4 linked regions of the Drosophila melanogaster genome follow. The protein of the gene in region 3 interacts with the protein of the main gene of each other region in a pairwise test. Each region holds a gene or a part of one and is shown on either strand. Other genes may lie near its edges.

Region 1 (6,704 bases), on a different chromosome or scaffold from region 3:
AAAAAACCTTAATTACCTTAAATATAAGCAGATATTATTGTTATTATTATTACAGTTAAACCAAACACTACGTGTAACTTTATTTTCACTATTCCAGTGCGTCTGCTAAATGACCACAATAATTTTATTTATTTACTTACCATTATTATTCTCTATGGCGACATACCATGGATAGTGTCTGCTGCGGTCGCATTCGCTGGCTTTGCATTAAAAATAATTGTTTATTTATAGCAGTCGATTGGCTTGAAACCAGTTCGAATCGCAGCGTTAAGAAAGCACACAAACAAATCGCTGCCCCAAGGGCCATAATAATGGATCGCATATATTTACGGCAGCCAATGCTGATATCATCTTTGGATAATTGCACGCAATTTTCACTCGGCGCCCACGTGATAATCGTGAGATATATGCTACTTCAGCCACTTCGACCGATATCTGTGGGCTGCATTTTGCGTGGGCTTTTAGATCAAGAGTCCGCTTTTAAATGGAAGTGGCTGATGGCATTTTATAACCACCAAAAGTAATTTTTATGAGCATCTATTTCCCCCGTTTGTCTTTCGGCATTGGGCACATTAGTATGCAATGCCACTGCATTTTCCGTGTCAAGCATATGCGTATACTGGCTGCCAACCTGACTTATTTCCACCCGCCAGCCAACCGAGCTAGCAAGCCAAACCTACGAGCCATGTTAACGACATTGCATTTCCTTCATTTTCCTTAGCATTTCCATTTTCCATTCCCAGCATGGCAAGCAAACAGCTAACAACAACCCACTTCTCGGGCCTTTTATTGCTTTGTTCTCCGACTCGCATTCAATGTCTCAGAGCCTGTCTTTCATTGTTCCCTTTTTTGGTCTGCCTCTGCAGAGAGGAAAAAGTCATAAATAATAAATAAATGCATATTCTATATTACAATTTTAGTCACAATAATTAAGGGAAGATCAGTGCAACTCTCATGTCAAGGCAGCATATTAGGATAACCCAGAATGATGAGGTGTAGCTTAAAATTAATAATTTAATTTAATGTATAAAATGTTTATTGGCCTAGGCTTTATTTACCAACCCATTTTCTCTCAATGTTCCCCCTTTCTGGGTTGGCTTGAAAATGGGGCCCCCAGATGATTGTTGTGGCATGAATACGTTGGAGGAAAGGTTCTTCGATTCGAGTGACCAACGAAGCAGAATCAGCTCAATTACTCAACTTTTGCAGATCTCGTTTCCAATTTCATAGCAATGCAAACACATTTGCAGCCACACGACGACTCAACTCCTATTAGAGCCAGTAACGCTCTTCCAGGTGGAAGAGCTGCAGACACGCCTGTGCACACAACTTCACATCTTTTTGGCCAACTTGAAGATCTGGCCCAAAAAAAAAGTTTCGGCATAAAAAGTTTGCCAACCAAGCTGCTCCTCTATGACCAGACCAGAGTCGAAAAGACAAAACAACCTCACACCATTCAGCAGACTTAAGTTGAAACAGAAACTGGGTTGTGATTGTGCTGGTCGCTTCTATAAGTCTGCACTGAAAGAAACCAAGCATTGATCTAACAAGAATTTCCCTAATTTCCTGGTTAGTACAACTAGCATGTTTCATTTTAATAGTATGACTACAGTTTATAGAACTAGTTGAGCTCGCAGCACCCAAAAAGAGTTTCTTTCGATAGTTTACAGTGTACTGAAAGCATAAATATATCTTTTTTTCTGCACATTGAAGCTGAAACTTGGAGCCAAAGTTATTGCCAGGGAAAGTTTCCGCAGGTCGTCAAGAGAGTGCTCCAAAATGGTTGCCAAAAAACTGACTTTGCCAACATTCTTGAGCCTTCTTCGCCAGCCAGTTATGAAATATAAACCTGTCTCCTCCGGCAGCCGGCTAATGAGTCCAGAAATGGAAAGTAAAGGAAATGTATGTAAGCCCGGTTTCAAAGTGCACTTACGCTCCCATCTGCGTGCGTTCGAACCGTATTATTGTAAACAAATTTCCAGCTGCAATGTCGGTAAACCGGTTGCTCGAGTACGAAACCTGGAAACCTGACCTGCTGCAAAAGCTTGGCCAAAGAATGGATAAGAAAGTGAATTTCATTTGCCATCCCGGCAGCGCCAGCAAAGTCTATTTAAAAGTGCAGAGCAGCAAAATGGAAAATTAAGCACATCCTGTGCCAGTGGGCTGCTTCACATGAGGTAGTATACTTGATAAATAATAGCCAACATCCAGGGGGGCGTAGGTTTAATAATAACCCGAAGAAAAAAACAAAAAGTACTTTTTTGTATTTTTTGTTTCTACAAGCCTTAATACGGGCATCTAGCGCGTATTAAATGAAAACTCATTAACTACTTCTTAAGGTTTAAAGACTTGATCTCCTCTTCGGTGAGAATGGATTTCTTGAGCGCTGAAAGAACTTCAGGTGGCTGCTTGGAGAGCAGCTTCATCCGCTCAATAGCCACAAGCTCATCCTGGCGATTCTGTTGGTTGTAGACCTCCTGTACAATGTCAACCACCTCCTGGGCAGCGGCTTTCCTGTTATTCTTGGCCTCCACGACCATGTGGGCCATGTCCTGGTAGCATTGGACATCCAAGCGCCGGGTGTTCTCCCGCTGGGCCACTTGCATTCGATACTGTCGTTCGCCGAAGCACATGGGATCCTTGGGCATGACCAGGGCATCCTGCACACCCTTATCTCGGAAGAACTTCTGCTCTTCCCGCTGGCTGAGGAGCTGTTCGCGAATCTCCTGCTTCTTGGCCATTTTGGTTCTAGCCTGTTCCAAGGCCTTCGCGTTCTCCTTGGCCTTGTGCTCGCGGATTAGCAGACTGGTGATGACTTGATCTCGGGACTCCAGATCGTGCTTGATCTGGCTGAGCTGGAAGCCCAGCCGAGCGGCATTAATGTCCCTGGCCTCGATCTCATCAAGGCGTCGTTTCCGTGCCTTTGACACATAGGCCGCCGTAACGGGTCCCAGGGCATCAAGGAGTCCTCTCTCGGGCTTATTCTTTTGGGCCAGAGCGTAGGCCTCGCGGGTTTGCTTCAACATGGCTGCCGATTGGTCTAGGGATTCGAGGAGCACCTTGCGCTGCTGCGCCTTTGTAACTGCATCCTTTAGGATTCCCTGCTCCACTATCTCCTTGCATTCCTTTAGCTCTTGACGACCCTCGGCCACAGCTATTCGATGATCTTGTATCCGCTTGGTACGCCCCTCGGTAATCTGGGCCATTAGATCTCTACGAAACACGGCTGCCTTCTGAGCCCTTCTTTGCTTCTCCTCCTTCAGCTCCTTTTCCACGGCTCGCTGTTCCGCCAAAGCTTCGGCCCGCTCCCGCTGCTTATCTTCCACCGTTTGTTTGATATTGTTGGTGATCTTGTTCTTGACAGCCAACGCTGTGTGGGCACGGGCCACTTCCATCTCGAGATCCCTCAAATTTTCCACATTGCGATGAAGTTGAAGGCATCTACTGGCCTCCACCTGCTGGCGAGCCAGTTCCCTTGCTACACCGAGGGTGACATCCACATCGGTTTGCTCCTTCCGTTGGCGCGGATGCAGGTGACTGTTGAGCATGGCGGCCACTTCGTCCACCTGGTGTTTGACCATTCGGAACAATGAGCTCTCCGCGACAGACGACTGTGTAAGAATGCGGCACACATCCTTATCAGAAACACAGTCGTCCTCGCCCTTCGGCATTGGTTTGAACTCGGTCAGAAGATTCGGTACGGGCTCCTGGGAGGCGGTGGCAAAAATCGAGGCTCCCGGTTCATCCCAGACAATATGGCCAACGCGATCCGACTCCGGTTGGAGATTTTCCATCGTGGTTCAAGAAAACAAACCACTTCCTTTTAAAGAAATTACTTAGGAAAATTTAACTGGGAATGAAATATGTGATATGTCAAGGCGTTTTGAGTGGTATTAGTTCACTCAAAATGTTTTTTTTTTGTGCTAGTAACCTAACGAAATCTACTGACTAACTGAAGACTGCTAGAAAATTTTCAGATATTAAAAAACGACAGTTTTCAGCTGGATAAATAAGTTTAGAAAATAATATTCAGGTTAATTCAAATTACAAGTATGTTATGAAGAATTAAGTGAAACAGATAAGAGCTGGCTAATATTTTTAAGCTGCGAATATAAAGCCACTTTTCTTGATTTTCTGTCATTGACAGAATCTGTCAATTGCCCACGATTACAGAATGTTCCCTTTATATCGGTAAGTTAGCTTACCGTAATTGAAAGCCTGTCCTTCCGTAATTTCAAATTACTTCCTCTGTGAGATTCTGGAAAGGCATTGTAGCTTTATGCAACTACTTTTCCTGAAGCTCAGAAACATGCACTCTACTGTGGGCTGTCTGTGGAGGTCTGTGTGGACTTCCAGTGGATTAGCATATTTGAGTGGGTTCTGGGCCAAGAGGCCAAGAGATCTCTCTCTCTCTCTCACCTACTGCATGGCCGCATTGGGAGCCACAAGCTCGACGGGGGCCAACTTAATGGGGATATGTGCATCAAAGTAAGGCTCAAGTGCTTCCCTTGCGAGCGCGTTGTTGCCCCGACTATTGGCTATATATACCTTTGAATTTGCATACGAATTTGTATGGAAAATCACAACCGAGCTAAACGATTGAGTTTCTGAGCTCGAATGCATTGCACTCAATAGAAATAATATTTCTCCTGAATTTAAAACAGCTATTGAGCTAAAAAGGTATTTAAATAAAAGTCAATTATTTACAGAATACTGAGTATATTGGAAAATAAGATAAAACCAATTATAATTTGTTCACAATTGCAATCAAACATTTTCAACATACGTATATTTAGAATTATAAACTATGGTAGACGTTCTAGAGCGATCTGTCGAGGATTTTTATCGTCTGGCTTCCATAATTTATATATAGTTATCTAACTGCTGAGCGCTGGTTAAATGCTGCCCTGTCATCGCCGTCTTCATCATCATCGTAATCATTGGAGGCAGAAAAGAGCGGAGCTCTCCCAGACCATCAGTCACTGTCCACGACAGAAGCTCATTGGCGGAGTCTCTGTGGCAGGAGGGGATTGAGTTCGTGGCGGGGGGGCATGGGGAATGGGACATGAGTAGCTCCAGTAGCAGCTGCAGCTTCCGAAGGCACTTTCCTCGACGCATTTGTTGGCTGTCCATGGTTTTTGCCGACCAGGGTCCGGATAACCTTTCCATTTTACAACTGTCAACGGCGCAGCGAACGCGATTTGCCAGCGGTTTGTTTTATTTATTTGTTTTTTTTTTGTGCCCCCCCCCCCCCCCTTATTGCCATTTATATTTTCCTCCTGTTTTCCCCAGTGTCGTAATTACGCGTAAAGTTTTGTGCCTGCATTTGAAATTGTACGCAATTTTCCCCGAAAGTGTCAACGCATGTCGGGGCTTTAAAGTTTTGAAAAATGTTAATTTGTTGTCGTTGCTAATGCTGCATTGGGTTTTTCTCTTTTATTTTCCTTTAGCCGCCAATGCAGCTGCTGTTTGAGTTGAGTTCAGTTTTGTTTGTTTGTTGGTTGGTTGGCAATTCGAATCGAACGCGTCTGGCATTACATGACACTCATTATTGCACATTAAGTTGGATGGATGATGGAAAGTGGCGGTCCGACCCTATGAGACAGCAGAATCGCTGGACTGGGGGGGACAATAGAAAGCATTGTTGCTTACCTTAATTGATATAATAAGTATATCTGCCACTCGCACGGAAGTTCGGCATTAAGTCTTTAGCCAGGTCATCGTCAATTAATCAAACCATCTTCGGAGAGAAACTTGCCATGTCTGGTTCAACGAACTTTTCGCGGGGCTTTTCATTGGTATTTAACATTTATGTGTCTCGAATGTAAATGCTTAAAAAAAAGGAGAGGGTAGGGTTTTATTTAGATTTTAAATCAAGCTACATACTACCTACGTTAGGTTAGAAGTAGTGTCGAGATATTATTTCACCTGTAACATCCTTTGATATCTACTGATTTAGGGAACCCTTTTCAAGCGAAGGCAAGCCTTTCGCTATTTGTTGACCTGGAATGTCGGACAAGTGAGGAATGTACACAATGGCAAAGTGCTTGAATCGCCATGTACCGTGCATATATAGTGGTCATATAGGGTTTCTTGTATTCCACTGGGCAACCACATGAACGAAACTTTATCCCCTTGACCCTTTGGCCCCCGTGGCTAGTTCGAAGGCACTTGACTGCTGGATTTGTGCAGATGATTTTATTTTATTTATACACTTTAACTTTGAATCCATTTAATATTGAAATTTCTTCGTAACTTTAGACGGGACTATCAATAATTTCCGGAAAAAAGATGCAGGACGGCAGCAATACGGAAAAACTTTCAACTGCAAGTGGCAGACAGCTCAAGACAAAGTTTCAAGTGCAATTTTCATATAATTTCCATACAAACAAACAGACGGTTCACTTGGGGCACGACCTGAGGTCGCGTTTATGTTTTATTGAAAATGAAAATATCAATTTGCCTTTCAGGAATTTATTTGCTACTCATAGTTTCATGTTTTGGAGCTTCTTACAAAGCAGGAAAATTCTTATTAGGAAGTTGAAATGGAAATTTTTTGCACAGATGTTTCGTCTATTCAATGAATAAAAAATATCTATCTATTAATTCCATAAAAGGAACCATGAATAAATTGAAAATTCAGAAAATAATTTGTCTACGAAGACTAGGAAAACACTTAAACAAATCTATCAAATACATTTAGC
Region 2 (10,312 bases), on a different chromosome or scaffold from region 3:
CATAACACTTTGTAACTTAGTCTGAATTTAGTATAAAGTGTCCATGCAACTTGCATTCAATGCAGGTTAGATTGCAGCACATTGATAACTGCTATGATGTGCATGCCGTAGTCATTAGAATAATAATATAAAAAAAAAAAACAGAGCCCCTTGTGTCAAACGCATTTGTGTATCTGGAGCCCAATGTTTTGTTTATTTGGCTTACTGTTTACGGCCATTCTATTCAATTGTTTATGGCCATTTCGAGCTAAGTTTGGACAAAGTTGGATCTCATCTGGCGTCCGGAGCAGAGCATGCTTCCCCATTTGCAGTGGCCACAATGGCGCTGCTTCACGGTTATCTAGTTTTCCACTCATTCACCGGACATGCAGCACTTTAATGTGGCTTCGCATGGAACATTGATGATGAAACCCATCCGAATGGCGATGGATGTCAACGCGTGTGCGAAGGCCAATTGGTTTTTATTTAATTTTTGGCACACACTTCGCTCGAGAGGCCCCAGAAGTCTAGCTGTTGTTAATTGGTCTTCATTGAATTGTCTCCCAATTTCAAATTAGTTAACTTTCCTTTCAAACTTTCGTTGGCGGCTGGCAACCGAGCGTGGAAGTGGAAAATGATTTTTATGACTTTTTCATTGAGCGGCGGTTACTGCGCAGCTGAATATACAAATTCCCCTAATTGTAACTTGATGTAAGCTTTGAATTGACACATTTCTAAGATTCGATATGGGTGGGAAAAAACAACCCACTTTCATTGAATTTTCTGCCATTGAGCACAGCCAATTGGTTTTCAGGTCAAAAAACTCCCAGTTCATCCAATTTTGATTGGTTTTCAAACCAAAGACGTATTTATTAATCGTAAATCAGTTGATTGTAAATAAATGTATCTTCAAACTAAGTTCACGCAAAGAACTTAAGGCGTAAATCAAAGGCCAAATATTCAGAGGGAAAGTATATAATATTAAGGTTACTTGAGTGTTCATATATATAGTTATATATAATCTGTATTGTATACACACACACATATATATATACGCTATTTTATTTTAGTCTGTATAATATAATTTATTTTACCATATTCATAGTACACATATGTATGTATATTTGATTATTACCGAAAACAGTCAGACAATTTTATTCAAATTAAAAATACGCCTCTTCGTCGTCGGCATAGAATATTTAAAATATTTATGCCCTGAGCCATTTCTTAACAAATTTATCCACAAATTGTTTGCATATTGTATACGTATATTTATATATATATATATATAATTTACCAACATATTAGCTGCGATACTCGCTAAATACGATTAAAATTCTCATCAATTGTCAGATCGTTTGTCCCCAAGTCGGCGGGGTTACATAAAAAGTGTAGTTCGGAATGTGATGGCATTCAAAATACTTGGCTTTGGCTTTAGCTTTAGTTAGTATAAGTTTAGATTAAATTAAAGCGGTTAGTGGAGCTTTTGTCGCTTCTGAGCTCGATTAGGATTGATATATGCATGTATAGATGTATTCATATTTTTATATATAATCATATTCATAGTTGACGTTCTTCTCTCGTTTTGTACTAGTCGGGAAGCCTCTAGTTCGATAAGTAGATACAGATACAAGTTGCGGTTCCGCTGGATTTCAGATTGCAGTAGTTGTACATAGACACCGATTTCTTACAGGGATTAGGTGGCGTAGATATAGATTCGGTTTAGTTCGGTGCGGATTCCGTGGGACAAAATCCTAGACACTGATTGATTATGCTCCTGACGCACCACATTGCATGCAACAATAGTTTAATTCTCGCCATTGGGTTTTTTGAAAGTGAAATTCTACACAAAAATTGCACACGAGTTGACCTTGACACTAGCTCTTTATCATAATTGAATTAGAAATTGAATTTGGATTTTGGTTTCTTGGATTATGTTCAATATGTTCAATGCTCAAAAAAACGAGAAATACTCTTCGTGGGGCCTGTGGCTATCATTAAGTACTACGTAGACTATCTCCGCGTGGGATCCTTAGAAGTACTTCTCGCCATTGTAGCCGGATCCGCGCTCCGCCACCGGTTCGTTCATGAATTGGCTCTGGTTCACCGAGCGCTTCTTCTTGGCCACCATGTAGCGCTGCTTCGAGGAGCCGAATCCTGCTGGATAATTGAAAGTTATAGAACACGAACCTCCGACTCTTGCTGCCAACCCAATCGGGACTTACGGCTATTGACTCCGCTGTACTTGTGCTGACGCGGCACGTACTCGTACTTGGGCATCGCCTGGTTCTGGTTGTCCAGCGGCACTCCGGCGCCGTAGTAGTCCGCCTGTACGGGCACGTCGAACCAGCTGCCGGCGGGCGCGTAGTCCAGGTCATCGGAGGGTATCATGGGCACCGGTCCGGAGCTCTCAGCATCGCTCTCCTTGCGCGCCCGTTCTCCGGCCTCCACCAGGGCAACCAGGGCCAGCATGTCGGCGGGATTGAGCTGGGTGTCGCGTTTAAGTCTGGGATTGGAGCAAAGAATACAAAAGGTTACCCCTTAGTAATAGTTGTTATGTATGTAAAATATCACTCATACGCCGTGTTGCTTTACTAACTCACCGCATGTCGTTGAATCGTCGATATTTGTTGAGGTTGATACCCTCGTCGTTGTAGCCACTTCCACTGCCCAGGCTGCTCGCCCCATTGCCGCCGGGAGTGCCCACGTTGTAGTAGATACCCCGCTTGTTGCGCTCATCCACGTTGTAGTTCCGATTGGCATAGGTCAGCGGCACCGAGAGGGGAATGCTCTCCAGATAGGCCTCGGCGTTCAGGAGATTCTGCAAATTGTCGTAGGCCTTGTTTCGCGCACTCGAGCTACTCACTGGAATTTAAGTTTTTTGTTAGTTAGCAATGGATGTGCCACGCTCTTGGACGCACCTCTTCGCTCTGGCACGTAGTCATCGATCTCCTGGAGATCCCGCTCGCCATAGCTGACAGGAACGGCGGCCTCGTAGTCGTCGGACCAAACGCCACTGGGCACATCGCTGCCGTAGTCGCTGGAGGCGACGGAGTACGGATTGTACTCGTAATTGATGCCCCGCTTGCGCATCGTGGAGCTGGCCACCGCCTCCTCCAGGGCGGAGGGCTCCTCCTGCAACTGCTGTTGGCTGTTCTGGGCGGCGGCCGCTACGGCGGCCAGGATCTCCTCGTTGGAGGGCAGGGCGTAGACTCCGGACGGCACCTGCTGCTGCTCCTGCTGCTGGCTGGAGACCGGAACTGGGCTGTTTCGGGCCGACGGAGCGTTGCTAAAGGAAGCGGGCACAATTTCCGGACTCGACTTCTTGTCCGCCGTGGGCACGGCACTCGCCTCCTCGGAGCGTTTGGCTGGTGAACGAGATGGGGAATGGGTAACGCCGGCTGCTGCTGTCCGGGCTACTCGAATTTTCCATTTCCAACTTGCCATTTCCCACTTTCCATTTACCATTTACCCGGGGCTGATTCAATAAATTCCCAACATCCCCACAGCCGAGAAGTGACCGCAAAACCAATTAGCCGCCGTCCGCAGAACGAGTACCATAATTGTTTTATACGCCCGAGCATATTTCTCGGTCTGGGCTAATTGCTTTTAGCGCCCTGACAGCCGGCTTTATGTCCACTTAATCCCCGATGTAATACCCAGAGGAGGAGGACTGACCTTATTAATCCTAATCGCATTGCCGCCCCACTGGCATCCAATCGAAAAAAAAGGGTCTTTGCGCAACAGTTGGTTCGCTAATTGGACGGCTGAATTGGCTTTAATATCTCGGATCGGTTGATATCTTTAATTGAGCGCTGGCCGCCGCCAATTAGGATTCAGTTAGCACCTGACATGAGTCCTCCTCATGGGCATGCGGTTATTTCAACTGCCCCATCCATCCAATCCCGAGTTCAGATGGACCAGCCAAACTCGTTCAACTCCCCTGCGCAGTGGATTTGTATGAGGTATTTCGCAGGTTTCTGCGAATATCTATACCAGTATCTATAGCTTATCTCCATGATTATTGGAACTGAGATATCGCATATAGAGTGGAATGGAGTAGATACCCGCATAGCCATGATTTATACGACCCCAATGATTAATGTGTTATTAGGGTGTGCCAATTGAAAGGGCCAGGTGGTATAATATCCGGCTATCAGGAAATGGGCTCCCATAAAATGACTAGCGGTTCGCATCGAATGGGAAATGAATGTTTCGAAGTGTGTACTTAACTTACTTTGCAGGTGACTATTTAGTTTTAGACACCACTATCGTAACTAAAAACGAATTATTTTGATACCTTAAAGCTATTTTGATATGATTACTTTCAAAGTGATGACTAACATGTTGCGTGGAAACACAAGTTCCTTCCGAGAAACAGTATGTCCCCTGGTGCAACTCTAGTCGAGCTGTAAAATTCCACATTCTCTGAATGTGGATACGCTTTTATGGAGCGCCCGTAACCCAGTTTGCGATTCCCCAGAGTCCTTGGGACAGACGACAATTCCTGAAACCCGCTGGCTAAACGCTTCCCCGTATTGGCAGTCATTTAATGCCCACAATGCTCATGTTTCGCCTCCATGACGCCCACGCCACCGCCTCAATTATATTTATGTGTGGCAAATGTCCTGCTCACGGATGTCCATCAGCCCGGATGGGTGCTCCTCGGGTGGGGTACTTGAATAAATAAATGAGTAGAAAGCTGGCAGGCTCTGACGTTGGCTGACGTCGTCCTGGGTCTCTACTCTACCAGGCTGTTCACTGAACTGCAAAAGTATCAACAAGTTGTTTGCTCCCCACACACACACACACACACACACATGCGCAGAGATTGGGGGCTGGTGGGTGGCTCTTGGCCAGCAGCTGTTCGAAAAGTCGGGCCACCACAGACAGCGCGACATGAACATGGGAATGTGGACACGAACATGAACACAATTAACGCCACGGCCAAGTCCTTGGGCGTTTCTTTCGGCCCCGCACAGAAATAACTTAATAGCCGCAGCATATGGAAAAATTTGTCAAGCGCAGGAAAATGCGCTGGGAGCCTGTGGTTTCGGGATTGGGTGTGCCAACTGGAGTGCTCACCCTTCCCTCCTGACTACTTCATCGCCAGGCGAAGGAAGGAAAAGGCGAGGGGTCAGCAGGCACTGCTCTCATAAATATTTAATGCGCCCACTTGACTGCTGCTGCGTGGATTAATCCGTGGGGTGGACCCTGTTTTCACTTTGCACTACCGACAGCTGGACACTTGGCGGCGACAGCCTGTTTGCCTTTGTCATTAGGTTGCCATATGTGGCTCTGTAAACACGTAGAAAGGGGCGGGGGCGCCATTCCGCCCACATTGGGGCATAATAAATCTATTTAGAGCGAACTGTGCTGGGGCAAAAATCTGTTAGTGGCGCTGCCTGGAAGTATGCTACAAAAATGTGCGATGGAGAGCTTATCGCTCTCGAAAACATCTAATCCCTAGAGATTTGTTTCTTACCCAAAGGCAAATTTTGTATCTATAAACTTACATTAGAACATTGAAAGATTTGAAAGTATGCAGCGAAATGTTAAAATTTAAATTTGAACTTGTCCACCCCAATCACATGCTTCCTTCCCCTTTTCTGGGCACCTGCCCTTTACATTTTGATGTGGTTGCCGCTGGCTTTTGGCAACTGACATCTGACCAAAGCCCCGCTACTTTTGGCCTTAGTTGCTGCTGCGGTTTGGAGCGCTAACGAACGTGTTGCACACACGGACGCGTATTTATACTCGGAATGGATCGGAAAGGCTTAACAGCTTGAGCTTGGCTGCCTACTTAAGGGCTCAATGCTGCGGTGAAAGTGGGGGCGGCAATGGGTGGCACTTGCCACCCAAGATGTGGTGAATGGCGATGGCGATGGCGTAAGGCGATGCTAGGCGAACGGCGCCAGGCGAGCAGAAAGTGCAGGAGGAGCGGAAGGGGCGCAAAAGGGGCTGAAAACTTTCGCCTAACTCGCTTTCTAAAAATAGAAATGAAATCGCGCGCACGTACGCACACTTTAACAGCATGGAGGCCCCCCCACTCACATACACGCACACACGTACTCACACACACTCACAAAGGAGGCTGGCCGCCATTTTGTGTGGCGAACGCCTACGCGATGTTTAACTGCGCTGTAGGTTCCCGTGTGCTTGTGTTGGTGAGCGCTGAGCTACATATATGAACAGTGTAACTGCACTGGGAGAAATCGTGGAGCTGTATATACAGAATACCATATGTTTCTTTAGAGTTGTTGAAAGAAAAGGCAACATTGTGCTTTAAGCCGCAGCTTGATATATGTATATATGTTTCGTGAATATTTTGGCAGAAATTTGATTATTATATATATATGTATATAATTTAATATAATTTATATAATCATTTTTTTGTTGAAACTTTAATTTAAAGACTTAAAACTTATTTTATTTGATAGTTTTCTTTCAAGAGTGCATATAGCTACCCACTTACTCAGAAAAGTCATTGGTAGTTTTCTCGCTGTGCAGGCACAGTAATGATTCACTAAGCCAGTGCAAGAAAAACAACCGCAGGATGGAAATTTATAAATCGCTCATGGAGCGCGGCATTCAAAAGGACGACAGCTGTCGTCCTCGCGCAAAACACCTACGCAATTTCCTGGCAGAAACAGCGAACGACGAGCGGTAAATGGGAAATGGAATATGCTAAACGAGATGAGCTCCGAGATGGAGCCACTCGAGCGGATGCCCGACCCTCAAAAGCCAGCAGCCAGCCAACCCACGCAGACGACGAGCTGGAGGCTGGAGGCACAGCCTTCTCGGGCCGGGCATTTTTCAAAAACTCGCATTTTCCCAGTGACCTTTAGCCTTAAGAGTGGGCGTGGGCGGAGCTGCTGCTCCACCTGTACTGAACTTTGGCACTTACCTGTGGCCGGCTGTTGCTGCTGCTGCTGCTGCTGGAGCTGCTGCTGCTGGTGATGCTGCTGCTGCTGTTGCTGCTGCTGCTGGAGCTTGTGGTTGGCGCTGGTGGAGAGCTCCGTGTCTTGGGCGAGCACGGAGGTGGGCACCGCCCGGATTGGAAGGCTGAGGCACAGGATCAGTGCCAGGACTACCAGCAGGCTGCTGCCGGGCAACGAGATGCGTGGCATGTTTACGGCAAACGGCACTTGACTTGGCTCTAGCTGGTGGTGTCCCAAATAGGATTCGGATCTGGCTGGAGGTGGGAGGTCGACTTCGACTCCTGGCCTGGTTTCTGCCGGTGTTTGGATCCCAGTGGTCTGCGCACTTCGACTGTTCTGAATGAACTGACGTCCCAGCGACGCAGTGCAACAGTTTTTAACGTATTGCCCCGATTCCGTGCCGTTGGCCGTTGGCTTGCAGACCACATTAAAGTGCCACCCAACTCCTCCACTCGCCGACCGAATCCCGTCCGGTCTGCACACAACCTACGTCACTCTCATTGATAAAGACCGCGGAGCTCGGAGGAGCCTGCTTACGTACTTGCCTGGCGAGGCAGCGAGCCAATCCTCTACTGCGCCGGCGCCGGATCTGCAAAGAGCTGCGTTACTGCCAGGTCGCATCGGTGGGCCTCTGTGGTGCTGGTTATGCCGCTATGACACTGGTTGTTATGTAAATTCACTATATTAGTACTCAATGCACTTGACTAGTGTAAAATGTATAATAAATATGGATGGCTTATGTTATATTTGTATATTATATATTTATATTATATTTATTTGAAAGCTAATTCTGGCTAATTGCCTCACTTGCAAATATTTAAAAATTTATATTGCGCACAATGATCCGATCATTTTGCTATATCAGCAATTGAACATACATATGGACATGCACTACCGCTTGCTACCCGATTCTCAGGAGCTCACCTTCAGTTTAGCGCGGAACTCTGGGCAACGATCACCTCTACAAGCGAAAGATGAAAGCGATTAGTTTGGTATTCATCCTCGCCCCCTCGCTGATAGCGCTCTCCCATGGAAGCCCAGTTGATCGGGAGGCGATCGGAGGTCCGATGGCGATGCGGGGATTCAACAACAGTCTGGGCACCTTCGTGGAGTACAGCGGTCAGGCATCGCTAGCCTCCAGAGATTGGAAGTTATGTGCCAGCTTCAACTTGGAGTCGCTTTATACGGCAATACGTGCGTTCAATGGTGTCTACAAGGCTTTGGTCGATGTGTGCGATATCCAAAGGAATCTTTGTCCAGAAATTCTGGACATTACCAAGTTTGCGGATAGTATTCTTCACGATGGACTAATTGACTTGGAGAAAGCGTTGGACTTTAGGGCCGGACGACTTTCTTTGGGAGATGACGACGTGTCCATCGAGCTTGGGATGGGAACATCCTGCATTGACAGCTCCATTAATGTTATAAATGTGATACTTCAAGAACCCTTTCACGAGGCTTATGAACCTGAAAACCTGATTATGATGAAGCCGTATCTATACCTTATGGGCAGCAGACTAAAAAGTGCCCAGAATGCCATAACTGAAGCCATAATCTCTGCCCACCACGGAAAGCTTAGTCCTCTTGTCCTTTCAATGAAACAGCTGCAAGCGAAGATGCCGCCAATTCTGGGAGATCTGGATGGCCGATATACAATCCGGAATATTTACCTTCTCGCCTCCGTAGTTCCTCGGCAGCGGGGCAACCACGTGGAGTTCCAAATCACAGTGCCCTTGCTCGATGCGGAGAAGTTTAATATCTACCGATTGACGCCCATTCCACGGTTAAACAATGGCGTAATCCAACTGGTGGACACCGAAACACCTTATCTGGGCATCAACGATCATATGGACAGGTATTTTCCGCTTCAGAGCTTGGACGACTGCATCAAGTTGGGCGAAGAAAGGTTCATCTGCAGGCGCAACCGCATTATCTACGGGACTGGGGATGACAGTTTTGCCTGCTCCCTGGCGGCCATACGGAACCAGTCTTCCGAAGTCTGCACCTTGCGTCAAGTGAAGGAGAAGAGTCTGTGGACAGAGATGGTGGCACCAAACTCCTGGATGGTGGCCCTTACCAATGAGCTAACTTTAATAGGAGTGTGCTCCGGTGAGAGGCAGGAGCTCCAATTGAATGGCAGTGGAATCCTGAGCATTCAAAGCGACTGTGCCGTGCGCAGTCCAGCTGTCGCCCTCCGTGGAGAAGTCCGGGAAAGAGTTCCTTCGAAAGCAGGTTACGCAACGCTGCAGAAGGAACCAAAATCTTCCCAGGAATCCGTGACCTTGGAATCATTTAATCAACTCCTGGCGATCGTGGGCAAACTGGAGCTGAATCAGAAAAAGCTGGAAGCAGTCCGAGATTACCCAATGGTAGTCGTAGTAGTAGTAGCTGTGTGCGCAGCCATATTGCTGGTCGCCTTACTTGTTTCGGCGACCTGGTTATATCGCACCCATCGGAGCAAACAACTTGCGCAGGCTCAAAATCTTGTCAACGAAGTCAATGGTCTCCAGGATCCACAGAATCGCACCACAACCTGCAATCTTCCGCTGCTGGAAAAACATGAAATCTAAAAAAAAAAGAAGATGCGGCTGCGTGGTGCATCTGTTAAGTTCCGATGAAATTTCAAAGAGAGCTATGATTTTTTAACAATTTTTTGTGTCGATTATAATACAGTTTTATTTGTTTGGTTTGATTGCAATAAATATTAGTTACTCTCATCATGTACACGTTGTAAGTCTCAGGGCTTCGGTAAGGGTTCCTTATTCGCACTTAGAAATTTAGAAAATTGGGATCGGGGGCGTGGCATGCTCGGGATGGCCATGTGATCTGGGACTACGTTCGACTATTTTCTTCAAATCCGGTCTCTGCACCGAGTGCACTATGTTACAATTGCAGCCAGCGCTTCGTTTACAATAAGAACTATACTATTTCAGCTAATACAAGGAAAACAATGCCAATTACAAACTATTACACCGCTCGCAGCGGCGCATTGCACTTTGTGTCTCTGATTTTTGTATCAGTGGCCGTTCATGAAATAAAGCTTGATGCGGAAAGGCGGAAACAAGAAGAGCATGCGGCGGTTGTCCGGTTTATCCTACTTGGCGTCGTCAAGCACCTGCACGATGAGCCTTGAAATCAGTGCCGTAACTTCGGCCGCATTTGGTATGAGGAAGCGGTCCATGTCGGTTATGAGCAGACCATCGCCATCGGGGAATCCGTACTTGAACGTGATGAGGTCGCGGTGTCGCTTCTTGGCCGTGATCTTCACGATGCTCGCCAGCGGGCGACGCACCATTATCTGCGCCTGGCCGCGTCCCAGTTCCCGCAGCACCACCAGTTGCCCGGGCGTGATGATCAAATGACTGTCGTACATGTAGCCGCTCATGTGCACC
Region 3 (6,604 bases):
GTTTCTACAGTACGTAGAGTGCTATACAAAATATTCTTTATGTATAAAATCCAATAGCTGTCTCATAAAAATCGTATATTATTTCCTACTTTATAGTTGTTATAACATGTAAGTATTAAAGTCAAACGAACTTCTTTTAAACTTAAGGTGTTCGCACCGTTGGTCATATGTTAAAAACATTGAATATAGTTTATATTGACAGCAGCCGTTTTAGAAAATGTTTTTTTTTATTATGATGAACCAAATAGAAGGAACTAAAATAAAATTCATCTGCTCCAAAATCGTGAAATACCATTTCACATTAGCCAACCAAAATTAGACCAAAATTTTAAAACAAGGAGGAATGTATTTTTTTGAAATGTTTATTTTGATGGTGTAAACATGTCCAGCTCAATTTGCTGTTTTCCTTCGGGTCACAATAACTTTAGTCTTGTGGGCATGTGTTGAATTCGTAGCTGAAGCTGCCAATTGAATGGCCAAGGCGATAACGAGGAACACGTAGAGGAACTTCATCTTAAATGATCCTGGAATTTTATGGTGCTTCTCAAATGAAGGTAGAAACTTTTGTGATTAACCAATGTGGAATCATAATCTTTTATACTTTAATTTTTTAATAGTTTTCTTCTTGTTTGCACCTTGTAAGCACATATGGTTAGTAGTCAGTTTAAAATGATTTCCTTATTAAGATAGGAAGTCTCTTAAGTTGGTATAATATTTATTTATCTATTAAAGTTCCAATTATAGTAAAACAGCTGTTTTACACATTAAAGTAACCTAAAAATGAAGTGAGTAGAAGTGGTAATTCAGATGCATTAAAATGTTTCAAATTCAGTTTAGATAATAAATAATTTAATGGACTTTTAAGAATTGAGTATTGCCTGGAAAAATAGAAACTTCTGTGATGTTGCTTCTATTTAAAACGATTATTTATTATTCTTTTTATTTATTATTCTTTAAATTCATAATAAAATAAGAGAAACAGCTGAAGTCCAATTCCTCGACTATCAGATACCTATTACTCAGAGTTTAGCTTGCACAAGTGTCTAGTGGAAAATGAAGTAGAATGTTTTTATTCCGAAAATATATGTAAAGGCAATTTTTTGCAATTTAAAGGCGATGAAACTATTTCTTTAGAAAATTGGCGACCGATAGACTAAATCGGCTATATATTCTGATAAGGCATATGTGTACAATACAATAGGATCGAAAACTTTTTAAGTGTTACCTACTTTTAAACACACATTGCATACCCATTTACTATGCGTTATGAGTTAAGGGTACAAATACTACTTAAAATAATTTTATAGATAAAATGAAAATATTAGGCAAAATTCTTTTAAAAAGAATTTCTTTATTTCAAAAACTACTAGTGCAGCTTAATTTTTCCTGTGGGTCACAATCACGATGGTCTTGTGGCACCTCTTTGGGTTCTTGCACTTCCGCTTGGGAATGCGGGTGTGGCACCAGTTGTTGCCCCTCCAACAAAGCTTTTTGTGAGTGGAAGCGGCCGTTGTTGTTGTTGTGGTCGATGCTGCAGTGGTGGTTGTTGTTGTGGTGGTGGCATCAGTTGTTGTTGTATTACTAGAAGATGAAGCCACCTGGATGGCCAGGGCAATAAGGGCAACCACGAACAGGTATTTCATCTTTGATGTTATTGTTGGTTATGTTGGTTAGCTGGCAAAGCAATTGATATTAGACTTGGCTTAAAAGCGGCGAAGGGCTGTTGTGATCAACTGATGTTGAAGTCACCCCATTTATAGTTCTCCAGTAATTTCCGGATTTAGAAAACTAGTATTAATTTGATTTCCTAACTGATCACAGAAATTTAAATATTTGGTCGTAAGACACCAGCTTTGAAAGTTTAATGCTGTAGCAAATATTTGCTTCACACAAATGACAGCCCAAACTTATGCTATAGTTTATTTTTGTTTATTATATATTTGTTTGTCATGGTAAATTGTCTAAGTATTATGTAGATATGGCCTCTATTTTGTTGTGCATTTCAGTACGAAACTGCGTGACGGATGCCATTTCATTTTGGTCCTTGAACTTAGTCATTAGACTCTGCCAAATAGCTTCGAATTTATCAGTTGTTACGAGACTTCTAAAGATACGTTCGATTTCCGCTTTGGGCCGCAAACAGGTGAAATCACTGTGAGTAAGGCCACGTAAAATGGCCAAATCCGGTGTTATAAGATCCTTGGCAGTTGTTTTATTCCCTTCGAGATTCTGGCTAATTGCTCCCGTATTATCCTTTGACTTGTTTTGAAGATCGGCGCAGAGCAAACGATATGTGGTGTCCAGACAACTAACATCGGATACATTGGTCAAGTTTCCCGTTTTCGGCAGAGAATTCTGAATCGAGAGAAGTCGAAAGAAATCTACATAATTCACCCGCTCCGTGGCACAGCCCTCGTCCACAATCAGCCGAAAATTGGACAAGGCCAGACGGATTTTTTGCGCATCCAGACGGATGTGAAAACTTCTGAAAATTTCCAAGATGCGTGCCAGTGGCAAGTGACCCGTTCCATCCGTGTCACTCCTCTCCAGCACTGAATTTAGTGCGTACTTGTGAAATTCCAGCTGGTTCCTCAAACTATGACGTTTTTTGTTCAAATAGCGTATGGCATCTAGTAGCCGGTTGGTTTTGTAGCAGGGTTCAATATTATTTAGCAGCATCTTCACATCGCCATTGCTGCGCAGAGGAACACCGAAAGTTATGTCGGGCACCGCAAAAGTGTACCTACAGACAGTCTAAAACTATTAATCAAAATCTATATCTATCTATACTTACTTTTTGTTTCGCATTCCGAGGGGTGCCTCGTTTCGATCCATAAAGTCCACTTGCGCCTTGCCAATAACCTTCAGGTGGTTCTCACCTTCCTCCAGACATCGCTTCACTTTCAGTCCAAAATCGCCGTGAGTATGTATATCTCCACAAGGTGATTTTCGATCAAATGGTTGGGCATATCTAAAAAATATTTAAGACGTTCATTAAATATGCACCATTGCATTTGTAGTGACCAATAGCTTGACCTGCGGTTAACCTGCTCCGAAGGAAAGTAGTGATTGTGGCTGATGATGTACTTGTCGTGGAAAGCCTCGTACTCCTTATTAACTTGCTCCGCCGACTTGGCCGGCAATATGACGTCGTAGAGACATTCATTTTGTGATTGACTCGATGGACTTCCGAAGGTTTGGCTTATATTGGTCACGTCTTCCGGTTTGGAGTACGTTTTCTTGACCCCACCCAAAGTGGCCTTTTTGAAGTACATTTCCTCGTAGAACTTCTCCTTGAAGGACATAAAGCGCGACTTTTGCAACTCGCTGGTGAGCAAATCCCGGATGCTGCTGCTGGGTTGAACGGAACCGGCTGGGAACTTCTGGGATTTTTTATTGATCTGCCCGTAATTGCGCCTAACTAGACTCTCAGCCAATTCTTCTGGATTGCTAATACTAAGACAAACTTTTACACCTTCCGCTCCATCTAATCCACTGGTGGACAATCCTGCAGTCGGTATATTTGCATTTCTGTCTATAAAGTGTCCCTTATTGGCCATGTTTATGAGTGTATTTATGTATATAGTGTGGGTTCAAGTGTTTTCAGAGTGCTTATACATATTACTGAGTGATAAAGCAGAACATCTTAAATAAATAAATAATTGTATTTATTGGTCTTGTAAATGAGTATGTTTACATGTCAAATAATTTATGGCTTAGTATTAGTTCAACTTTAGCTAGTCGTCTAGTCTATTGTACATGGTACTAGTACATCATTGCACGTCTCTCTCTGGCCGCGGAGATGGCATCTGTTTTTTCAGTACAGGTGGTGGTTCTTGTGCAGGACAAAGTCCCAGGTATCCTTCCATCGAAGACTGCGAACCTCATTTAAAGTCATTTTTCTCGCACCATAACTGAATGGTATAAACTTTGAGAAAATGCTAAGCACGCCCACCAGCCACAGGATTAGCATGAGGCGATAAAGGCGCACCAGATGGACACCACGTCCGGTGCAGAAGCGCCTGAGCAGATAGTCCAAATGCTCCACGACAAAGCACAATAAAAGTAACTTAAACACAAAGGCTGGCAAGTAATTGTGCAGGAAGAGTGTACGATCCACACAAAAATACGGAATATAGTGCATCACGTAGCCCATAAAAAAGGTGTCACCAGCTAATACGAATCGCTGCCACTCTTGCTCCGAAATATCAAAGCAAAGACGTTGCCGCCGCATCGCGTAGAAGGCGAGTAATCCGGCATAGACAAGTATTCCCATGGTGGCTGTGTACCAGAGTAGTATGTTTCCCAGCAAATAGATCTGCGCACTCGACTGTGAGTCCAACCAATAAGCGATGCCCTTGTCCATTAGCGGCCACTCGTGCGGCATCGAGCTGTACATGTGATTTGGCACTGACTTCGTTTGGAACAGCATCTTGGATTGTAGCTCCAGTAGCTTGGCCCAGAACGAGATGCGCGTCCGCTTTGTGGGTATCATCTCGGCAGTTAGCATCTGGCGCTCTCGCTCCCGATGATCCTCAGCTATAAAGGGTTGTAAATGAGGATAACGTATTTCTTCAAGTATCTCGAAGAGGACTTACTCTGTGTATAGCGGTGCTCCTCAACATTCCAAATGGCATCCTCATGTATTGCCTTTTCACGATCCGCCACCACCTCGTGCTGATTGAAACCCCATTCGGGAAGTTGGCGCCCACTGAACTTCAAGGAGGCTTCTGTGGACACGTGAACGAGGCGGACCTCCGACTTGATGGCATGCCAAATGTCACCTTCGGAATCGCGATTCAGAATCTCCACGCGCCACAACAGTTCACCGGCCATTTTGATCTCGTAATCTATGTAGCAGCTGACTTCTTGGCACTGCGGCGTCATTGCCGCAGCCACATCGTGTGAGTTCAGAGCTCGGCTCGTAATTCCATGGACCAACTGAATAATTTCACCGTGCCGAATGATATCCGGCTCATCACCCACCACCAGGTTCTCCTTTGTTGGTCGCTTAACCAGCCACCAGTTGTTCACATCCTTGAAGGAGTAGCAGGTGACCTGCTGCTGGTGGGAGGAGCCTCTCTTGTCCGGATACCGCACCGGATAGACAGCTGCATGCGAGTGCAGCCAACAGGTGCGTCCGTGGGTGTGTCGTAGTGTGATTTGGGATCCATGAACCACTGCCAATGGCTGTCCTTTTGTGATCGATGCCAATCCTCCATCTAACGAGGCCTGAAACGCGCTAGTCATGATGCTATCATGCGGTCCAGCCCGGTGCAGCGTCTTGAAGTGGATATAGAAGACTCCCAAGTAGACCGCCAATGGAATTCCAACAAAGATTAACAGGCGACTTATGGCATGCATCCATAGCTGGCGATCTTGAAAAAAATGGTTTTATTTTGATTTATTCAATCTCTATTATTATATCGTAAATCGTATTTGTAAATCTCAGAAAAAAAGGTATCTTACCGGTGAGACCGGCGTCGTAGAGCAGTTGCCACAGGTGTCGACACAGCAAATAAAAGGCTAGCCCCAGTGCCAAGAATCCGACGTACTTGACGGTTCCGGCGGCTCCCAAACAGACGGCAGCTGCCGTTCCAGTAAAGAACCATTCCAGGCTGCCCAGGCGACTTCGTTGGAAGCGTAGCAAACAGGCGATGCCCACCGTGGTGGCCAGCAGAAGCATTGATTCCATCAGAACAAAACGGGATTGCGTCAGCAATGAGTTGTCCAGGACCACAAGCAGGCCACCCAAAGCGGATGACCAGCGACTGAGCTTCGCCTCCAGCAAAAGATTGTAAACGGCGGGGGCCAGTAGACTGCCGCACATGGCTGGTAGAAATCGGAACCAGAAGATGGGCATTTCCGGGGAATAGGGCTCTCCAATGCGGGTAAAGGTGTAATTGCCATCGTAACCAGCCAGGCTGACCAGTCCGGCGATCAGCTGTTTGCCCAGCGGTGGATGTTGATCGAAGAAGAAAATGTTTCGCATGTACATGGAAATGTACTTGCCGTAGTGGAGTTCATCGAATCTGTTGGGTAGGAAGTATTTTACTATGAATCTTGAAAATATTATAAAGACATAGGCATAAATCATTTGAGCTATAAATGCAAGACTTAAATGTAATGCAATGAACTTAAATGTAAGACTCTGCTCTCGCAGATTAAATTAATAAACAAAAAATCTAAGACATTGTTATGTGTGTATTTTTTTCATTCAGCGGTGACCCCATTTGCAGGTTTGTTATTGTTTTTCTACTCACACGATGTGCGGCGGCGTTGCCAGCTTGTAAAAACGCGTGCCGAAGGCCAAGAGAAAGAGTGTCCAACTGAAGAGATCGATTCTCAGGTTAACGGTAAATGGCTGCGAACTCGCATTAGCGGTTTTTCTCTCTTCTGCGGATGCTGCGCCAGCGCTGTTCTTGTCGATTTGTTTTTGGCAGGAGAGCGAGCGAGACCGAGACGGCGAAGGCGAGCGTGAGAGGGAGCGCGAACGATCGGAGGTAGGCGAGGGGGAGGCTTGTTTTGGCGTCGCTACCGGCGTTGGCGTCGCAGTCGGGGTCGGCGTTGGCGTCGTGTGCCGGTTAACGCTGCCGCGGAGCGG
Region 4 (6,922 bases), on a different chromosome or scaffold from region 3:
CCGTGATTGTTAAAAACGAGAATGGCTTTTATCATCTCAACTTCTAAGATAAGTCAACAAAAAAAATGAAAATGTTTAAACTGCCAGCTGTTTTGCTTTTTCGACGAGGGCTGCAAAATCAATACTTGGTATAGCATCTATAATATCGATATATCTTTATCTGACGTATTTATTTCAAAAATCTAATAAGAATCATGCATATTTTAGAAAGTTAGGGAAAATATATTTTTTAAAGCAATTTCTTAAATCGGGTGTTAAAAATCCGTACAAAAAAAAATTCTATGGATTTCTGATTGTTGCCCATCTCTAATGCCTTTAACCTCGCGGTCTCCGATTTGTTTATTTCTTATTTTTATTGAATTATGAATATTTTGACAAAAGTAAAATACAGCTGCAGGTACTCTGGGTTTTATTTTGTAACTCCCTTTAGTTAACGTATAGTTTGCAGGGTGAGCTCGGTTTTAAACAGAGATGTGAAGCAGCACGGAAAGCAATTCATGTTTGATACGCGGGAAGAAACTTCTTGGAATTCAGATGAGGTATCATCCTAAGATTTGGAAAAAAAGAATATAACTCCAAACGGCCATTTCAGGGAACCCCCCAATTCATTACCATTAGCTTGGAGGAGCCACAGAAAGTAGCTGGATTTAGTTTCCAGTTCCAAGGCGGATTCTCTGGCCAAAAATCCGAACTGATCATGTACTCCGCTGACGGAGCCCAAGTTCACCAAGAGCCATTCTACCCAGAAGATATCAACTCCCCACAGCTTTTTCAGATTGCGGAATCAGTCCGGGAAAACCCCTGCTCAAAGCTAAAGTTCGTCTTCGAGTCCAGCACCGATCTATTTGGTAGAATCATTGTTTACGATCTCCAGCTGTTCGGCTAGTCTCTGACCCAATAGATCTTACTAAATGTGTACAAAATCTTCTCTAATCAAAGTGTATAAAATCGGATCATTATCTATTGTGGTATTATCAAAAACATTGGTCCGTAATAGGATGGTCATGGTTATCAGCAATAATTGTGCTGATTCAGCCTGCCACTGCTGAAATTGATATGCGACTAATTTCATATAAATATTTCAAACTAGGTAAGCCCTTTAAGTGCTTACGAGTGTGGATCAAGGTTCAATGAAAATATTTCCACGCGATTCCCCAATTTGAATATCATTTGCATGGAGCTGGCTCGAAAAACACGCAACTTCATAGCGAAGGTGACACTCTAGTCCATGTCTTATCACCCCATATAGAAGCGTCATCAATCAGCTTAGCCCATTCCAATTGAAATTTCGTCATTTATGTATATTGCACCAAAACCATTGTTTATTTGTCCAAAACCGCACAGATAATTTAGGCATAGCTTTATGATTCGAATGCTTCATTTATAGTCGTGTTTCCAAGAGGCAACTATGCTGCAAGCGAGATCTCCAGGCGAGGGCAGTTGGGAATGCCACACTCCAGATCCGGGGAGGTGTCCTGGTGCCAGCAGCTCTCCGAGTTGCAGAACATGCATGCGTTGGGCGAAAGAGGGACGTTTGTAGAGAGGTCCACCATTTCCCACACTTTCTTTAGATCGGTAACCAGGGCGTTCATCATTTCAAAAGTGTGGAACGGGGTGGGGGCCAGCCGCAATTTCTCCTGGCCCCGGGCGACGGTTGGGTAGTTAATCGACTGCAGGTAGTGTCCGAATTGTTCGATCAGCACGTTTGAGATTTGACTGCTCTTCAGAGGGTCTCCGATCTTAATGGGAATGATGTGGCTGGGCGTTTCTTCGACGGGGAAACCTGAAATGGGGCCAATTATATATGCAGTCAGTAAACTGAAAGTTAAGTGTCTCTTTCTATATTTATAGCCATCACTTAAAATAAAACGAAAGTGCGAGAATAACCTTCAATTCGAGTTACATAAATGCCAGAATTACGTCTTACCTTCTCGCTTCAGCAGGCTCTTCAGGTAGGAGACGTTCCGTTGGTGCAAGTGGCGCAGCTGGCGACCCTCCTCCGATGCCAGGATATTGACGGCCTCCAGGGCGCCACACAGTACAGTCGGCGGTAGTGAGGTGGTGAAGATGAAACCGGCCGCATACGACCGAATCATGTCGACCAGGTTATGGGTGCCAGCTATGTAGCCACCAATATTACCGAACGCCTTGCCCAGGGTGCCCGATATGATGTCCATTTTGTGCAGCACACCATCCCGCTCACCGACCCCGGCCCCGTGGTCACCGTACAATCCCACGGCGTGCACCTCGTCGATGAACGTGATGGCCCCGTGCTCGTGGGCCACGTCAAGCAGCTCCTCGAGCGGGCAGATGGCCCCCGTCATGGAATGTACCGTCTCGAATGCGACGATCTTGGGCACGCTTTTGTCCGTCTGCTTCAGCAGCTGATGCAAGTGGTCCACGTCGTTGTGCCGGAAGATGTGCTTGGGAACCCCGCTGTTCCGTATGCCCATAATCATGGAAGCGTGGTTCCCTGCGTCCGAGAAGATCTCGCACCCAGGTAAGAGCTTGGCGAGCGTAAAGAGAGTGGAATCGTTGGCCACGAAGCACGACGTGAACAGCAGCGCAGCCTCCTTCTGGTGGAGCTCAGCCAGCTTACTCTCGAGGCGCTCGTGGTGAAGAGAGTTACCCGAAATGTTCCTGGTGCCGCCAGCCCCCGATCCGTGCCTATTGAGCGCGTCCTGGACGGCCCTCTTGACGCCGGGGTGGGCGGACATTCCCAGGTAGTCATTGGAGCACCACACCGTAATGGGCTTTTCCGTCCGCTCCGAGTACTCCAGGGCGTGGGGGAAAAGCCCGTCGCCTGCCAGGCGGTTCACCTTCTTGAAGACCCTGTAGGAATGGTCCCGCTTCTTCTTCATGATCTGCTCGTTGAAGAAGCGCTCGTAGGGAAAGGTCTCCTTGGCGGATGCCTTGCCAGGATCGGCAGAGGCGGGGGCGGAGACGGGAGCGGTGGCGTTGGCAGTTGCGGGGCCACCAGCATTGGCGTGGGCGTTCGCCCCCGTCGAGTGAGACCTTGTAACACTTGCGGCGACGAGTGAAAGTTTCTTCTCGCCGGATACCAAGGTCTTCCCAACCACGGGACAGTGGCTCCCGTAGGATTGGCACAGCGTCTCCGCGTAGTTGCGGATGAAGCTGGCGGTGAAGCGGTTCAAGAACGGACACTGCATGACGAGGCGCTATTCCACTTTTGAAGACCCGACCTAAATCAGCGAACTTTGAAAGCGAAGTGAGGTGTTCCGAAAATTATGCAAGAAGGTGATTGCGAGGAGGCGGGCGAGTGTGGCCAGAGCTGGTGAATGTGCGCTGCCCGCAATCAGCTGTTTGGAAAAATACCAACAAACATGTTCAAACAAATGTTTGCCGGTGTTCAAAAAGTTTTTGTTCGAGAATAAAAGCTCATTTTTTAAACTGTTGTTTTGGAATACAAGAATTGGAAATTTATTTTATTTCGAAGGGAAGTCCAAAAACGATGTTTTGGAATCTAATGCTCCTATTGATTGATTCAGGATCTAGTTGAGTTTAATGAATGTCTCGTCGTCCAGAATCGCGAAATTGTCCTCCCGGAAGTGGAGCAAATTCTCATTGAAGCACTTGCTGCTTTCGTTGTGCAATTTGGTCATCACAGGCTTGATGTTCTTAACTCCTGCAGTTTGCGACAAGTCCGTGAAATAGTCGATCTTGATAATAAATGAGAATAGAATTAATAACCAGATAGAGAAGTAAAGCCAACTTGCATCGCACTTGCTTGGGACCCAGCATGTGGGCATGGCGTTTTCTTAGTCCCTCCGCCCACAGTTTGCCCATCCTATCGCGGGTGTCCTTGAGCATATCCTCCGTGGACGGCAACTCGTTGGATCCGTTGTAGTAGCTCATGATGAACCTCGCTTGGATGTCCATCATTTGGGCGGCACAAACGTAAAACGGCAGTCCGATCAGAGCCATGGATGGGTTCCTGATGTTGATGCACTGCTTGTACAGCTCCTGGACGTAGTTGTCCTCCACATAGATGCCCGAGTCGACGGTCAGGAAGGGAAAGGCGTACTTGTAACCTGTGCAAAAGAAGACGGTGTCGAACTCCTGGTACGATCCGTCCACGAAAAAGGCTCCCTTCTCATCGAGCTCCCGCACATCGGGTTTCTGCTGTACGTTCTCGAAGAATGAGTGTTGCCCGATATCGGTCAAGTGGTGACTTATGGTGACCCGATCCGCCGTTCGGGAAATGATGTTCGACAGGTCCATGCCACTGGGACCAGCTCCAATGACCAGAACGGATTTACCTTGAGCAGAATGGAACACCATGTGAAATAACCTAATAGAAGTTATTCCTTAATTACCTTCGAAAACCTCCCTACTTCTGAAGTCGTGGCTGTGCAGGAACTGCCCTTTAAACCTTTCCATATTCGGAATTTGGCTATAATTCGGAGTGTGGTAGTGGCCATTGGCCACCAAGACCTTGTCGAAGTACTGGAACTCTATCTTGTTGGTGACCAAGTCTTTGAAAAGTACCTGCAAACGTTTCAGTTAAGTGGTTATATATAAAGCTGACTCCACGACTTACTTGCCACTTTGTTTTCCTCTGCAAAACTCGAATCACATAGCTATCGAACTTGATGTGCTTCTTCAGGTCGAAATGGTTCGCGTATTGGTTAAGGAAGTCGCAGATCTCGTCGGATCTCACATAGGAAGCCTCGTTTGCCCCGATTTCGAAGTCCGGGAAGCCCATTACCTCCTTGGGCAGGTTGGTTCTTTGAAGAGGCCCGGAAACTCTTAGAATATCAAATGGTTTTTCGAAAGATTTACGTACCGTAGGTTCTTGTACATGCTGCTGTGGACATCGATGCCATTGACCGCCCCTGTTGCCTCATTGTAAACCCAGGTGCCGCCGATTCGGTCAGATAGCTCGAACACAGTGGTCTCGAACCCATTTGCAATCGAATGGCGGGCACAGCAAAGACCCGCGGTTCCGGCCCCAATTATGCAAACGCTCATCATATTACAGTATTGGTTACAGCTTATATTAATTTTAATTGCTAGCTGCGATCCTAAGTGAGATAGGCCGGGATTGCTTTCTACACGCCGATTGCCTCCACGAAACTGAGGATCGCACCGTGATGAGCTCTTTGGCTTCCCCGCCTGATAGCCCTGCAAAAGTTGGGTACTTGGACTTCATTGAGAGGTTCGCTGAGGCCTTTAAGTAGTAAAATTATGCAAGTCTAATGAGAGTATCTTGCATTCGCAATCCGTATGAATCGCTGTGCTTGTTTTTTGTAATCGCGCTGATAAGAAAGAGCATAAAGCCTCTGCTTTTGTCTCGCCTTTTGTTTATGGGGCATATAAACATATATATTTATTATATTAATATTTACACTGCCGATAGGAAGCATAGGCGGCACAGCAATTGCCCACAGATGCTCAGATGTGCTCGATTCGTTGAGCAGTTCAAGGTTTTGGGCTATTATGGACTATGGGCCATGAGGCCAACTTCTTTGAGTTCGTCTTTTCCCACGCTAAACTGCGAAATTGAATGTGAGAAAATTTGCATGGGTCAGGCGGATTCGGAACGTACGTGCCGCAGTAGCAAAGTGCACGTCAAGATCGTCTAACATGGGGCTACCAGCTTGCATCTGCACCAAAGTTCTCCAACTGGCGAGTATCTTCGAGTTAGAAGGAGACTTTGAGTTACCTTGAATGATAGAGATACATCCCCATTAGATTGCCACGGTGGCGGCCCTGATTGTAAAGCGATTGTCGGACAAGCACTCGGAACGGGTGTTCGCCATCAACAAGAAGCAGTCCAGGGAGTGGACCCTCCTCAACAGCATCTCCTGGTCGAAGGAGGGCGATGACTTCGGCACGCTGACCTTCGTGGGCTATACCTTCATTGCAGCTGTGCTGCTGCTCACGAGGTAACTAACCACCCAGTGACTATGACATATATATATATGATATGCTAAGACCATCTCCTCTTAGGATCATCGAGGGCACCTCAAACTATGGCACCTGTGAGATAATTCTGTTGACCTGTGGCGTTCTGTTCTTCACCATAGAGGGTAATATGGCTCCTGGGATGCAGTAATGTCAGAGTGATGAACTCTCTCCTCCAGGACTACTGATATTCTTCACGGTGGAGCAGCTGTCCGAAGATCTGCTGATATTTGCCTATGCATTGGGAGCACTTTGCTTCATCTGCGCCGCTCTGTTCGCCCTGGACCTGATGTTCTTCAAGAACCTGCTGAAGCTGAGGGACTCCACCGTCCAAACAGACCAGTCGAAGGAAACAGTGGCCCTCAAGGTGTACAATCTTTCGCAGGAACCGAAGATGAGCTGCTGCAACATGATGCCCCGCACTCACATCGTGAACGAAAGCAGCAGGAACTATCTACGCACCGACTTGTAGACCCAAGTGAAAGAGCTCGAGATACATATGTATCTGCATCTGCGTTACCTTTATTGCCGTAACATCGAATGTAGTGAAACAAAATATGCATTATAAGATCGTGCTGCTGAAACAACTAATTGGACTCGTATGTTAATAAAGTTTTCGACATTAATCAACGCTAGAAGCGGCCGCCAACTAATACGCGTACACAAAACGGAATGCAGTGCCAACAGTGTAGACTACGATAGCAAAACCCCCGGGCTCCTCTCAGAACAGCAGGAAGGACACCCTCGTCCTTCGCGCATCCCCCTTGGCTCGGCGAGCCATCCCGTAATGTCAGGGAATGTCGCTGCTGCTCGTCGTCCCCTTGGAATCGCACATGCCGCCGGCCATGTTCTCGTTCGACCGCTCCGAGGTGAGTCCTCCGGTTATGCCAGTTAAATTTAGTTTGTACTGCAAGGCGGAGCAAGGGGATTAGGATTAGGATGGAGTTCGTAGAGGAGCTGGCACTGCAGCTTATGAGTGGCCAAAACCAATTGT

Evidence for each region.
Region 1: the proteins of CG32086 (region 3) and CG3610 interact in a two-hybrid assay, tested with the Drosophila melanogaster proteins (one large-scale study listed by BioGRID).
Region 2: the proteins of CG32086 (region 3) and CG4577 interact in a two-hybrid assay, tested with the Drosophila melanogaster proteins (one large-scale study listed by BioGRID).
Region 4: the proteins of CG32086 (region 3) and Alas interact in a two-hybrid assay, tested with the Drosophila melanogaster proteins (one large-scale study listed by BioGRID).

The regions. Positions count from the first base shown.
Region 1 is NT_033777.3:14,842,297-14,849,000, reverse strand, and holds CG3610 (uncharacterized protein), read right to left. Parts: upstream 3,959-6,704; 5' UTR 3,795-3,958; coding exon 2,328-3,794; 3' UTR 2,264-2,327; downstream 1-2,263.
Region 2 is NT_033779.5:1,131,656-1,141,967, reverse strand, and holds CG4577 (uncharacterized protein), read right to left. Parts: upstream 7,276-10,312; 5' UTR 7,110-7,275; coding exon 6,887-7,109; intron 3,348-6,886; coding exon 2,901-3,347; intron 2,845-2,900; coding exon 2,583-2,844; intron 2,486-2,582; coding exon 2,205-2,485; intron 2,140-2,204; coding exon 2,012-2,139; 3' UTR 812-2,011; downstream 1-811. Other genes in the region: iris, read left to right, coding at 7,895-9,490; TBC1D23 (TBC1 domain family member 23), read right to left, coding at 10,015-10,312.
Region 3 is NT_037436.4:11,580,474-11,587,077, forward strand, and holds CG32086 (uncharacterized protein), read right to left. Parts: upstream 3,592-6,604; 5' UTR 3,561-3,591; coding exon 3,037-3,560; intron 2,972-3,036; coding exon 2,795-2,971; intron 2,744-2,794; coding exon 1,969-2,743; 3' UTR 1,928-1,968; downstream 1-1,927. Other genes in the region: CG43391 (uncharacterized protein), read right to left, coding at 391-513; CG33269 (uncharacterized protein), read right to left, coding at 1,377-1,643; rt (rotated abdomen), read right to left, coding at 3,818-4,539, 4,599-5,378, 5,470-6,032, 6,264-6,604.
Region 4 is NT_033778.4:23,961,133-23,968,054, reverse strand, and holds Alas (aminolevulinate synthase), read right to left. Parts: upstream 3,284-6,922; 5' UTR 3,171-3,283; coding exon 1,928-3,170; intron 1,784-1,927; coding exon 1,407-1,783; 3' UTR 1,298-1,406; downstream 1-1,297. Other genes in the region: or (orange), read right to left, coding at 1-35; CG34213 (uncharacterized protein), read left to right, coding at 363-397, 449-539, 593-886; Fmo-1 (Flavin-containing monooxygenase 1), read right to left, coding at 3,513-3,680, 3,745-4,280, 4,338-4,509, 4,562-4,748, 4,808-4,995; CG13566 (uncharacterized protein), read left to right, coding at 5,608-5,649, 5,716-5,909, 5,974-6,053, 6,108-6,400; alpha-Catr (alpha-catenin related), read right to left, coding at 6,719-6,835.